Mytilus edulis: one gene and its partner. The protein of the gene in region 1 binds, or shares a complex with, the protein of each later gene. Links are inferred from orthologs where the notes say so. Each region holds a gene or a part of one and is shown in the gene's direction. Other genes may lie near its edges.

Region 1 (7,251 bases):
TCTGGAAAGACAGTTTTTTAACGACCAAAATAACCCTAATGGAAACAAACTAAGAACACGCAGAAAATTAAAAAAAGAATTCAAATTAGAACTGTTTGTATTAATAGATTTAGATCGATACATGATATCAAATTTTATAAAAATAAGTCATCTACATATTGAACAGGGTAGACACCGTAAATTACCTTTGGAAAAAAGATTATGTCCTCTCTGTAAATAGGAGGTAGAAGATGAATATCATATCATTTTGCTTTAAAACGTCAAATTTTAGAAGGATGTAGGCAAAAACTTTTTCAGGAAGTAGAGAGTATAGTTCCAGATTTCACCCAAATGTCTGATAAGGAAAAAATTGCATTTGTGTTTACATTTAATGAGTATGACGTAACTGAAATTATTGTATAGGGATTTATGTTTTAAATTGGTTGAATATTGAGCATTCATTTGTTGCAAAGAAATAGCCTAGCTGATACGAAAAACTAGTCGATGTAACAAAGTTATGACTATTTTATATTTTTCTTATAGTAGGCCTATTTGTTATGATATATTTTATAACAATTACATCACCTCCTCCAAAAACATCTAAATATGGAGTCTTATATGATATGAATGTTGTTTAAATCTAAATATTGTATGTTTGTAATGATTGTCATGTTTGTCTTGGTAACAATCCAATATTTAGATTTTACACCAATAATACGATTTGATTTGATTTGATTTGATTTGGTAGGAAATATCAATGTACAATTTTCGTTAAGCAACCAACCATCAATCATCTACATACTGGAAAAAATTACTAAGCAAAATAATTGGAACAAACATTATGTTAACTTGGTCTTAAAATTAAATCTTTTTAAATTTCATTTCATTTATTAACCGGGCAAAAAGTCTTAGAAATCAGGGACAGTCTGAACTATCTTTAGAAATAAGAAAAACTCTAAAAATTAACAAATCTTAATGAAAACCCACGTGAAAAATCCTACGAGAATCATTAAGAAAAAAAATAAAGTTTTGTATTTATAAAAGAGGGGCGAAAGATACTAGAGGGACATTCAAATTCACAAATCGAAAATAAACTGACAACGCCATGGCTAAAAAACAAAAACAAAAACAAACAATAGTACACAAAACACAACATGGAAAAATAAAGACTAAGCAACACGAACCCCATCAAAATGGGGGTTAGCAGACCCTGTTTCACATGGGGCACCCGTCCTGTTGCTCATAATCACGGTAGGTATAGTGTCCGGCTAGGATCGTGGTTTTTCGAGTGATTTGATCGTTTTTTTTCGAGTTTGACCACTTTATTTCAAGTGAATATGATAAAAAAAATATAAACAAACAGACTTCCTTTCTGACAAGACGTGATATAAGATCATATAACAGTTTGAGTTTAATATTCAAGGCTATATGTACAAGGTGTGTTAGTATTAGAGAATGAAAGATATTATTAATCCGACATTCATGATTTTTTGTTTATAAATGTTGTATTTAGCCTTACAATGCTTTTATTCCACAAAAAAAACAACAGACTAAAGCGTTTTTTAAGCAGTTAAGCTGCCTTATGCTACCATCCTATAGATAAATTTGTGTTCTTCCCACTGAATGGTGTTAAAAGTGCTATTGTTATTATCTGGCTGGTTAATATGTTATTAGAATAACTAATTTGGCACTTTTTTCATACTTTCAATTCTGGAATGCAATACATATGACCAGAAAAACCTTAAATGATCGTCGAACTACCAAAAAATTTGAAGTTGCACATAAGAAGTAGTGCTCAATAGAAATCCGTTCGTAGTTTATTATCCTATGTGCTTTTGGCTAAGATGTCAAAGAACAATTGTATGAAATATTTCATCGCCGAAAATCTCTAATTACAAGTCGTTTACATTTCCCAAATGGCAAAAGGCACAGGAATATTGTTCATGCATGTACACGGTGTCACCAAATCTCTATATGATAGAGGAAATAAAGTTATATATAGTTGTCCAAGTCGGCGGTAATTTTAACTTACACGAAACGTAAGCTATTAGTATTCTGATGTTATAAAACCCCCCTCTTTTTTGAGAACTTGTAAAAGGTGCGATACTTACCCCTTAACCATATACTATATATATATTCATCTATGGGACAAGATAACAAGTCAAATGAAATATAGTGGAGTCACTGGGGTCACCCACCCCCTTCTGTTTGAGAACTTGTAAACGGTCGAGATCCCCGCCCATACACCACATATATTCTGGTATGTGACAATAAAACAAATCAAATGAAATATAGGGGGTATCATGGGGGTCAACCCCCCTTCTTTTTGAAAACTTGTAAACGGTTAAGATCCACACCCCGAAACCATATATATTCTTGTATGTCTTGTATGGGACAATAAACTAAATCAAATGAAATAAAGAGCGAGTCCACTGGGGATCACTCCCCCCTCTTTTTTTGAGAACTTGTAAACGGTGAGATACCCACCCCTTTACCATATTTATTGCTGTTTGTCATTTCAAGAAAATTTGAATGACATACAGGGTCAATTTCCTAGACGTCACATAGGCATATCATTTTACTAGACCTAACCAATTTGTACTGGACTTTGCCCAATGTCAGGCGACCATGAGAATGACGAATTATGGAAGCTCTGTTTGGAAGACTTCGTAACATTATCCTGTTACTATTATTTCTTGTTTATTATAAAATGTAATTGATGCAAAAATAAGTCTAGGTCAATTGAATTTACTTTAATTATTTTTTTTAATAATTTCTGGGCCTATAAAAATTTTCATTTATGGCTCATTCTAAAGAAAACATATAAATCTTTCAAGCAGTGTAAAGCCCAAGAATGTTTTACCAATTGTTTTATAATCACCTGTCATTTTATTCACATCTTGGAATGGAGTGACATCACGGACTTGGTGAAGGTAAGGGTCATTTACATTTTATATTGTCAGGTCAATCATACCTCAATTGCCCGGCATAGATTAGGATTGTAAAAAATCTGCCATAGATTTTGGATGGCATGACGTCACATTTGCCATAGATTTGGAACTCACCATAGATTTGAGTCCTACAGATATAATCAATTCACCGAAGTTTCGTGTTAATTGTTTACTAGTATGTGTTTTTCAGAGTTATTTTCAGACATACTGACGACGGACGGCCGGACAGACAACGATATACCATAATACGTCCCGTTTAAAAACTCAGGGGTTCTGACTTCACCACGACAAATACTATTAGCTCTTACAACAAAAGTACCATCAAATGAAGTTGAAAAGACTATGAGTCCCCTGCACTATGTTCTAAAAACCTTTTTATAAAGGATCCAAATAATAAATAATATAAATCCGCTAGTACGTGTAACTGGTTTAAAAAAGTTAAATGTTAATCCTAGGTTCAAAATGACAACGTTTGATTTCTTTAAATATTCACAACAAATTTGCTATAATCCATACATGTAACTGTTTATAAAAACCATTCTTTATTTTTTAAAGAAATGAATGTCTGTAACATATCTTAATTACCCGGCCATTTTAAAAAGATTACTATTTGTGGACGTTTCCGTAGATTTTACTTTTTGGGGTGAACACTATATCTATTGAAATAAAAACATGACGCAAAACCAGTTAATGTACAACAACAACAAAACACACACAAAAAGCAACGTTTGGTCTCGTGTATACTTTAATAAATTGAGCTATACTGAAGTCCACTGAAGGACGTGCATAATGTCAAATCATGAAATATTTATTGTTTTAGTCTATAAGAAAACTTGTAATATTTCCGTTGCTATTTTTGGTTGCCGATTTTGATACTGTGTTACATCACAGACACGGTCTCTGAAAAGAATACGGAGAAGTGACTGTGTGTTAAACGTTGATTTATCGAACGCATTAATAATGCAAGCCTTGGGAGTAAAAGTCAGAGAAAAGAACTGTTGCTAAAGTAAATGGATACATCTAGAGAAAACCAGAACAGAATAAAATTCCCTTTACTAAAAATAAATCATATTTAACTGATAGGCGTAACAAGGCGTGGCTAAATGTGCTTAAAGGGGCGTTTTTCCACATTCTCACTGGTCAATTCTAACTTCACTCCGTTAAAACTGGTTTAAACAGGTAAACACTGTATTTTCCCTTTTCTATTAATAGAAAATCACTATAATATGTGTCTATAAACAAATATTATTTGTTGGGTTCGACATTCGGACCTTATTGTTCTAGTACGAAAGCTCGTTTATCTGAATTCAATTTTATTAAGGTGAGTTGTATATTTCCTAATAATCAGATCATTTTTTGTAGATATCGTTATATATAACAACTGTTGAATCAGTTTTCGGGAATTCTACTTTTGAAACGGCAATAGTCCATGCTATTAAGTTGTTTGTAACTTTGGAATGTATGTTAATCATATCAAAATATAACTTTAGATCTTCACTGTAAATAATAACAGAAATATGTATGAACAATATTGTAATGTTTTGTAAGTGAAGACAGTTAAATGATTTGACCTGAACCGGGCGAGGCCGGGTTAACAGGTTAACAAAACATATACATCTGAAACAATTTTCAGTAGGCATATCGGAGACTGAAATAGGTGGACAGATATATATAGTAAAAAAAAACTTTGGAAGCACAAGGTTCGTGGTCATTGGAATAAATAAGTGTTTTTATATCCTCTTAAACAGATTTGGCTGAATTTTCATGCGGGAATTAAGGGCCCAAAAAGGGCCAAAACCAAGCATTTTTTAGTTTCCAGACAATAACTCGTGTTTAAGAATATGGATCTCTCTAAAACTGTTACAAATTACCATGAGACAAATTTCAGGTATATATATATATGATACGGTCAATTTGTAAATTCAGGGATTTTTTTTAATTCCTGAAATTTCAGTGATTTTGTATAATCACTGTCAAACTGATAAGTGATTTTATCAAATCAATGATTTTGACCGTAGTCGGGATTTTACAAAATCACTGAAATATTTAAGATCTTTTATACATGTTATACAAATTCCCTGATTAAATCCAGTGAATTTGCAAATAAAAGTATTTTTTTATTCAAAAATTCTATAAAAAAAAAGTCTTCACTCAACAAGTTTGAGGCTCAATTAGGCTTTGTTTTAATACTTATGTCTTTAGATCAAGAGCAAACTTACTCACAAAAGTTCTAATAATTGAGGGAAAATTAAATGTAACATAACATGTATCGAACCAGGAAAAAATAAGAAGAATTTTTAAAACATTATTCCTAAAAGTCACACAAAGACAAAACAGGCACTTATTATTATCCTGTTCGAAACTACGTTTTTTTTTTTTTTATTACAGTGCTTCTATAGCAATTACTGAACAGTATAAACCTATTATATCAAATATATATAGACAGTGACGCAACGATCATAAGATACACAATTTTCTTCTTGATACTATCTTATGATCATAAACAAGCTTCTGTCCAAGTTTGGTACAAATCAAGGATAGTTTATGAAAGTTATTAAAATTTTAAAACTTTAACCACAGAGTGAATGTAATGTTTCCTCGCAGAAAAACTAAGTCCATTATTAGTAAAATACGGAAAAGTGGAAATTTATTTTTACAAAATTTTCTTCTTGATACTATCTTATGATCATAAACAAGCTTCTGTCCAAGTTTGGTACAAATCAAGGATAGTTTATGAAAGTTATTAAAATTTTAAAAACTTTAACCACCGAGTGAATGTAATGTTTCCTCGCAGAAAAACTAAGTCCATTTATAAATAGAATACGGAAAAAAAAGGAATTTTATTTTTACAAAATTTACTTCTGAATACTATCTTATGATCATAAACAAGCTTCTGTCCAAGTTTGGTAGAAATTCAGTATAGTTTAAGAAAGTTATTAAAATTTCAAAAACTTTAACCACAGAGTGAATATTTGTGGACGCCGCCGACGACGACGACGCTGACGACGACGGAATGTAGGATCGCTTAGTCTTGCTTTTTCGACTAAAGTCGAAGGCTCGACAAAAATCAAATAAAAAGTAAATATTTGTTTAATGTAGGTATGAAGTATTTTTTAATGCGGAAATGTGATGAAAACAAGTAAATACAACCCTATTTTCATCAGATGAAAATATGAAATATTAGTTTGAAGCCACTGATTCCCAGTTTTGGAGTCCGTCAGCTGTGTTAATTGACAATTTCAGATCTTTCGACAAGCAGTCAAACTGTCTGCAACTCCTCCATTTGGGATGAACAATGGTTTTTTTCTTCTAAATGTGGATGTTATTGGAAGAATGGATGTGAACAAAATAGGTGTGTCTATCGAAAAGCTGGAGATTGAACATTCTGCAAAAAGAAAGAATTTACTACACTTAATAGAAATGCACGAACCTCATATAATACAGGCATACGAACACACTTAGATAATAAACCAAATCAAGTGCTGAAATCTTCGATACAAATATTTTGAAGTATTGTATTGTTTAAAGTATGAACATGAAGGTGGTGGAGTTTTAACCCTATATAGCTGGAAACACTCGTCACTGACTGTAAATATACTGGAATCAAACTAAGTTGATATCAAGGCAGTAAACATCTTAATACTAGTACCTGGAAAAAAAAATAGTTCATTGATGGCTTTTACACATTTCTTTGATACCCCTTTGACAATCTACTAAACTTAGCACTCTGACACTGGAGATTTCAACATGCCATATATTTTATGGGAAACACAGGCGAGGTTCAAGGAAAGACAACTTGAAACCCAATAATTATAGTAAAAAGTTCATAGAATCACTTCAGTGAAGAAAGTCTATCACAAACAGCAAAATAACCAATAGTTTAGATATATACTTTATATTTACAACTAATCCACCAAACATTGAAAATATATCAATCAAAGATGAAATAAAAGGGACAATATGATTGAAGTTGACAAATGCCTTGATAAAGAGGTGTTCTTTGAATCTAACTAAAATATATATATCTAATTTCGTTATATTACATTATGTAGTGTAACGAAATCAGAGATCTATATTTTAATTATATTGATGATCTTTTAAAAAACAAATATTGTACCATACAATACTGAATGATGGAATTACTTTCAAGAAATATTACAACATGTTATTTTAAAATAACAAAACATATTTCACCCACGATTCTGACAACCAGGTGGAACGTGCTTTGAATGGACCAAGTTAACAGAGAGATCAAAATAATAATAAGAAAAAGTAAAGAGTTTATACAACCAGGTTAAGCGTGCTTTGAATGGACCAACAG
Region 2 (7,692 bases), on another chromosome or scaffold:
AATTTTGCACTATGAATTAACCATGGTGCATCATCTCCTAACTTACTTATAATGTATTTTAATGACACTATGGTACTTTACTCAACTGACCTCAATACAATAATGACATCTCTTCTTTTGTGTAATGCCTTTTTTAGTTGAGGTAAAATCTGTGATTTACAAATTGAATAGGAGAATTATCATTTTCATAAATTAATCAAAACCAGCACGAGAATGTACCATTTCCTTTGCTCCCCAGTAAAAGCTGAATTGATAAAAGATTTCTTGCATATTTTTTTACCAGCTTCTGATAGTAGTACATTACTATCATTAAAAAAGTTACATAAATGAATTTATTTTGTTTTTAATACCTACAACTTCAGGTACTCCATTTGACGCATTAAACATGGCAATAACTGCATTGTGAGTGGGGACATCCTTGTTGTTTGGATAAAATGATACCAGTTTAGTAGCAAGAACATTGTCTTCAGAGCATAAAGATGGCATCAAACCAAAAAATCTGTGAAAAAAAAAATTTAAGTTATAAACATTTGATATATAAGAAACAAGAGTATGTTGTAGAGCATAATGAATAGGACACAATGTCATGCTCATAAATGATATTGTATCATTTCCATGTTCAGTGAACCATGAAATATGGGTCAAAATCCTAATCTGGCATATATTTTGTAAAGTCCACATCATAATGAAATGTATACATATACACATTCATGGATCTACAATCTGTCGATAACTGTATCTCGGCATTGCACAAGGTCATGTTTTTCTCTGACTGTTTATGACATCTTTACACTAAATCCATTGGATGTTGGATGTGACAGATTGGTAATTTAGTCTAAGATGCATGATTTTTTTATTAGTTGTTAGTGGCTTTGAACTAGCTGTCAGATAAATGCAAGTACTCTCAGATCTGTTCCTAGTATCTTTATGTTGTTGGGATATACATGTACCCGTCCACGTCCACTTGTATTTGTATTTTTGTCCATCTGATGAGTTAAGCCTTTTTTAACTGATTTTTATAGTTCGTTCTTATGTTGCACTGTTATACCACTGTTCCAGGTTAGGGGGAGGGTTGGGATCCCGCTAACATGTTTAACCCCGCCACATTATGCCTGTCTCAAGTCACGAGCCTGTAATTCAGTGGTTGTCGTTTGTTTATGTGTAACATATTTGTTTTTCGTTCATTTTTTTTATATAAATAAGGCCGTTAGTTTTCTCGTTTGAATTGTTTTACATTCTCATTTCAGGGCCTTTTATAGCTGACTATGCAGTATGGACTTTGCTCATTGTTGAAGGCTGTACAGTGACCTATAGTTTTTAATTTCTGTGTCATTTTGGTCTCTTGTGGACAGTTGTCTCATTGGCAATCATACCACATCTTCTTTTTTATATGGTATACTAAGTTTCAAATTTATCTGACTACATCTTCATGGTACTTAAAATCAAAACTATAACCTTGTATGGGATTATAATAATTCTTGCAATACAGCATCATTTTTTTCCAACCACTTGCTCAACATGGGAATGGAAGTGATGATGCCCTTAAACCCATAAATGATGTTCACTAAAACCCAAGTTTTTGACAAAAATGCATCAAACTCCAAAGTTGTCCATTATCAGATATGGTGGTACCATAGATTTTTTGAAAAATTAATTAAATGCATACCTGTAAGACTCTTGACCTTTTACCTAAAGATCAGTGGGTTCTTTTTATTCACCTGAAAAGGCAAAAATCTGATTTTGGTTTATAAGATTTTGTCCTGAAACCAAATTTCCCCAAAATGCATTCTTTTTTCATTAGACCTTACCCATGAGTCTCAACAATGAAATTAACCACCATCAAAATATCTGGACAATTTCACTTTGAAAGGCAACACATGGAAAAGACCCTAATTTTTTTTTTGTCAGTATCAAAAAGCCCCTTTTCTTTTTTGTCAGTATCTAAAAGACCCTTCTGGGGTTTTTTTTTTGTCAGTACAACATGTACATGTATCTCAATGAGATACTGACAAAAAAAACCAAAAGGGTCTTTTCTTTCCAAGGGAAATTGTCCAGATAATCTGATGATGGTTAATTATACTGTTGAGTATAATTCTATCAATTGCTGCTGTTTCCTTGAACTTTGACATAATGACTTAAAAATCAAAATGCAGTGGTTCATCTCATCATTTCAAATTTGGTAAAAGTTGGACACACAGTTCTGATATTGTCAATTTTGAAAACAAATTTTTATCAAAATATCAGTGTACCAATAGCAGTTGAAGCAGTTGTGCAGTCAGGGGTTCTACTTGTACAAGTAATTTTTCAAAATTTTGCTTTGAACTAGCTGTCAGTTAACTGTGAGTACTCTCAGATATGTACCTACTGTCTATGTTGTTTGGATGTACAAGTACCTGGCCACGTCCACTTGTATTTAGTAAAAAATCTGAATTTCAAATGACATAACTAAGCCAAAAAGTTATTTACCTATACAAGTAAATAAAATACACTTGTATAAGTATCCTACAAATTTACTTATAAACAAATAAATTAATATCACTGTGTCAAGTAAATAAAAATTACTTTTACCCCTGACTGAAGGGGAAGGACCTTTACCAGGACTCCGTGATCTGGTGTTTTTAAGATCAGGATTTCGGGATTGATACTTTCGGGATTCAAGAATTCTTTTTTCGAATTTTGGGATGTCAGGATTTAAATTTCTTTAAACTTGGGACCTCAGGATTTCATGTTTTTAAATTTGGGATTAAGGGATCAGGACCCCTCCGACCCCCCCTCCTGACTATTGTGACTTTGATTCTAAAGTCAAACGGAATCTTTTTCATCCCATTAGGAAACCAAATCTTTGAACATTTGAACTCAATTTTTTTCTTGGTAGGAAGAAACTTGGTTTTTTTATTTTTTTTATATCTATAAATGTATTATATAGGATGGTGACTGCATTTAAGGTTCATCATAACCTTTTGGCTAAAATGGCCGTATTTACACCCCAAATTTTACTCTGAGTACAGACTAACCTATACACCTGCAACAGTTTTAAGGGATGGCAGATATATAGATATATAAATTTTAAATGCATTTTATGTTTCAGAAAATTATAAACTTTTCTAGATTTTGCTATCCATTTTTTTTCGTTCCTGCAGAAGGTGCAAAAATTAACTAAGTAGTGAAAACGATTGAGAAGCTCCCCTCATATAATCAATGTTGTGAGTAGTATTGATTTAAATGGACAATAGATGGACAATAGACACCTGTAAACAATAGGTTATTTAACAGGTTTAATTGTGTAACTGAGTGGACCGTATCAAAAGAAACTCAGGTGTTTGTTTATTTTGCTATCTTCTGCAGACTGGAAAAAAATGAACATCAAAATCCAGGTAAATTTTTAATTTTCTGAAACGTAGACTTCATATAACTTTTATATATCTAGTTCCTGCCATGCCTTAAAACTTTCCTGGATGTACCAGTTTGTCTGTACTCATAGTAATTTTGGAGGTGTAAACACAGCCATATTTTTCAATTCCTTATGATGAACCTTAAATGATTTACCTCATCTGACCACTATATACTATACAAGCCCCTATGATTGATTGATTGTTGGTTGCTTAACGTCCAGTGGCAAATATTTCATGCATATTCAGGACGAGAACAAGTTCACAATAAATACAATAGGTAGGTTGTTGTAAGAGAGGCCATCTAGGATGATGGTCGGGGAAATTTGGACTGCCACTGGAAAATTAGGGTATATTGGATAGGGACAGAAATTTTGCTTTGCAACAGGCCACCTACGGACCCCTCAAAGAGTTGTTGCAAGGGTTCTTAACGTGCAAAGAGCGTGGCACTCTCTTTACAGGAGGCATCGGATATAACGTCCCCTTCTGACGGACGTGACTGCGAACTTGATACATCCCGCACAGCCAAACGGAGGCTCCACTTCAGCAACCGTTTTACTGCCGGTCGGGAGAAGACCAAGTGACCATATTTCTATACCCCAGTCACCCTTGGGGTTACAAGCCCCTATGAAGTGAGTGCATGTGTGTATGTTTTTTATGGATTGTAATTCATTTTTTCTTTGGGAATGGTTAATTTTCTGGTAGTAAGTCATGTGACAGCCAGGCTTAAAAATTCTATTGATATGTGCTAATACAGTGTGACAAATGTTCTTCTTTCCATCATAACTCATGATGGTGCTCCTCAGGGAGGAGGGTTGTAAATAAGTATATAGTGTGCATACATACCCACCAGATTCCTTGACAGGAATAACAGATCTTACAGGTTGAACAACTTTTTTGTCTGAAAATTTGGCAAGAGCTTTTTCCATTTGTGGAATAAGCAATTCAAATGTAAGAACATTTTTCACTTGGGAAGCAGATATAAATTTCATAAGTTCCATTCTGAATTTTGACCTCAAGTTCTAGTATGGGTACTTGACTCCGATCTCAATAGTTTGGTGTTTTGTAAAATAACTAAAAACTGGTTGTTTTTTTTTTAGATATGTACAACAAAAAACCAGTTTCTAAATCATAATTTTATTAAATATTGCATACAAAAGTTTTTTTTTTAATGTAAAGTTAAAAGGAAACATAGCATCAGATCCAGAATATTTATTTTAGAATGCCCCTTATTAAAGGGAAATAACCAAAATGGCCGAGCGGGAAAAAGTCTATTGCCAGGTTTTCATTTTAATAATTTAATCACTTCAATTCAATTGTTACATCAAACAGAATTTTCAACAAGTTTCGGCTTCAATGTTTCTTTCAAATGTTGTTATTTGTTCATTTAATCACGTCTTTTTCTGAACCTTTTACCACTTTTCATAAAAAGATTTTGACCCTCTCAAGAAATCTTAAAACAAATATTTTTCTATTTACGTACTCTTTGGATCAGCTTCCATCTTGCTGAAATATATAGAATATGAAGTTTATACAAACAACTGATACATATGAATAAATCTTTTTTCCTAAACAGTCGAATAAAAACACAGTTTGCGTCATAAAAACATTATAATTTACATGTTTGCAAAGTCAGTTATTTTTTTTCCTAGTATGGGAAAGACTGGTGTCATAATTGGTAATATTTGGGAGTTGAAAGATCATGTATTTTTGTCAGGGATCTCCATAGATGAAAATTAAACGATGGAGGAACTACTGTGTCTATGTTGTACAGTGAAGGGCGATCGAAACTATTTAATCCCTCCACCTAAGGATTGGTGAACAGGCTAATTCATTGCTTATTTAATTATATTTATTTGAATTTTCATTATAAATAGAAGTATAAATACTTTTAATAATTGCCGTTTTTAACCATTCAAAAGCCAAGCCTTCATGGTCTGTAACTGGATTATTAATTGATTTATTTAATCTAAATTATCATAAGCATTTGCGGAAACTTAGTTGAATAATTCGACAAATGAATCGTCTATCTTCAGATAGTATTCTCCTGTCTGGTTTGTTGATCTACCTGTACAAGTGATTAGCGATCTTATCCGGATATCCCTCAGGCGTCAGAACTGTATTGAATTATAATATAAGCCTGAGGTTTATGCAATTACATGCATTTGATTATAATTGCTAAAAACAATGCTGTCGGGCTATAAAAACGATAACAGTTTTGAACGATAGCAAAAGACAATTTAACGATGGCGCAGGTCATTTGACGATGGCGCGAGACATTTGAACGATGGCGGGGCGCCATCGTTAAACAGGCCATGGAGATCCCTGTTGTCCTGAAAGGCAATTTTATTTTTTTGTATGTTGCCTTGCCACCTCGAATAATTCTGTAATGTATGCTCCTGTTCCAAGTCAGGAATCTGTATTCAGTGAGAGTGGTGACTGGACAGTCTGCGCCAAAAACTTTTACATCTTCTAGTCCTGAATCTAAATATCAAAACTTGTCCTTTTATGACGATATAAAATATTGAAAATTTTCACTAGTCCGATACAGGAAGTGTATTCACTATTGACATTTGTTTTGAATTTTAGGATTAATTTATTATTATTGAACAAAAAGTCATTTGAACACAGTGTGCTGTGAAACACAAGGACACAAGACTTTCTTATTACATTTGGATTAGATAAACACATACATGTAGTACAACATGTACAATGTAAAAAAGAAAAACAGAAGAAATCAATCTTGAAATCAATTATTATATAGTTGTTCCATAGGAAGCAAATGTATGAGAGACATGAAAAACATATAATTAGATTTTTTTACTACAAAATGAATTCCCTATTATCCTTATTTCACATTGGCCTTTTACATCTTTGCTAAACATTATTGATTTTGTTCTGTGTTGAAGACCTTGGCTTGTATAATATATATGCATTAATTTTGTTGTTAATGATTATACTTTTTGTTCATTTTCAGACAATATATGACCCAGCATGTACTGCAGGGCTACAGTCTACATGGGGATTTGGGAACCAGCTTTTTGTATTTCCTGGAAGAAAACCCACCTTGTATCCAGGTATTTGTTACATGTACTTGTATTATAGATTAAATATCACATTAATTAATCTTCATATGTTTTCTTTGCTTTAACCTTTTTCTTTGATTTTTTTCTCTTAGACAGTTTTTTTTCTGGTCAACAGATCGATAGGAGTTTTTCATGAGACCATATATGGACATAATAATTTGTATGAAATTTGTTCACAATGTGTATCTTAACCTTTTATAAATTGTGACTTGGATGGAATGTTGTCTCATTTTAACACTCTTACCACATCTTCCTATAATATCTATTATGTATTTTTGTCATAATGTGTAAATGTATTCTTGTCATTATGTGTATTGTATATTCTTGTCACTGAAATGTTTGTATTATTTTCTGTTGTAGAAAATCAGTTACACTGTAGAAGATTACAAGAGATCAGGGAAGTGAGATGGGATATAGATTTATATCATCCAGTCATGAGAAAGCTTGTAAATGAATCTCATAGTAAGTAGATCTATCTTAATCAAGAGAAAGTTTTGAATCTCATATAGTGAGTTGTTGGAATACAAATCAACACAAATCATGAAACAGTTTTTCATTGACTAACATAGTGAGTTATTGGATCTTATATTCTTAATGGCATCCATTTAAAAAAACTGTCAATCCCTGAACAAAATTGTCTGTTTAATATGCATAAGTCTAGAAAAAAAGATATAAAAGCATAAATTATTCATTTTGTATTGAACAGATATAATGAAGAAAAAAAAATTGAAACTTTTGACGGCTGCCTACTAAGTCAAATCTAAGTCATGATTACAAGCTTAAGCATATACCTGAAAACGAAAAATAATGATTATGCATAGTTTTTCCATTGACAAGATTTAAGTTATTTCCCTTTTAAGCCATACTAGTGGGGCAATGTGTAAAAATTCTTGTAAATCAACCAAATTCAATTTGTAATACAGACTGTTGTGTCCAGAATCAATTTCATTTATTTATTTATTGTACCCTGCTAAATTCATAACCACAATCTAGTATTAAAGTATCTTTCTGTAAGTCTGAATAAACAGTGAATAAGTTATTTACCAATAATTTTTTTTAAAGATGTCCAAAGCTCCAATTTCATACTACATTGGAACACATTTTGATACAAAAAGTATGTAAAACGAGAAATTTCTGACAAAATTAAAAAAAAACCAACATATTTGATAGCTGACTGTATACACTTAAATGTGTTATTTTTCTATTTTAGATATTTT

Evidence for each region.
Region 2: nuclear pore complex protein Nup98-Nup96-like (region 1) and nuclear pore complex protein Nup85-like share a complex: the UniProt entries of both Drosophila melanogaster proteins name them as parts of the nuclear pore complex. The link is inferred for Mytilus edulis from reciprocal best matches to the Drosophila melanogaster genes Nup98-96 and Nup75.

The regions. Positions count from the first base shown.
Region 1 is NC_092351.1:7,551,229-7,558,479, forward strand, and holds the start of nuclear pore complex protein Nup98-Nup96-like, read left to right. Parts: upstream 1-4,162; 5' UTR 4,163-4,251; intron 4,252-7,251. UniProt on the Drosophila melanogaster protein: Part of the nuclear pore complex (NPC). Required for MAD import as part of the Nup107-160 complex and required for nuclear export of Moe probably via its association with Rae1. Plays a role in nuclear mRNA export.
Region 2 is NC_092352.1:40,183,608-40,191,299, reverse strand, and holds the start of nuclear pore complex protein Nup85-like, read left to right. Parts: upstream 1-4,582; 5' UTR 4,583-4,640; coding exon 4,641-4,670; intron 4,671-4,730; exon of another isoform or gene 4,731-4,745; coding exon of another isoform or gene 4,746-4,760; intron 4,761-6,366; coding exon 6,367-6,466; intron 6,467-6,835; coding exon 6,836-6,937; intron 6,938-7,685; coding exon 7,686-7,692. Other genes in the region: ketimine reductase mu-crystallin-like, read right to left, coding at 355-499, 4,236-4,390. UniProt on the Drosophila melanogaster protein: Component of the nuclear pore complex (NPC) that seems to be required for NPC assembly and maintenance. Required for nuclear import of phosphorylated Mad via importin msk.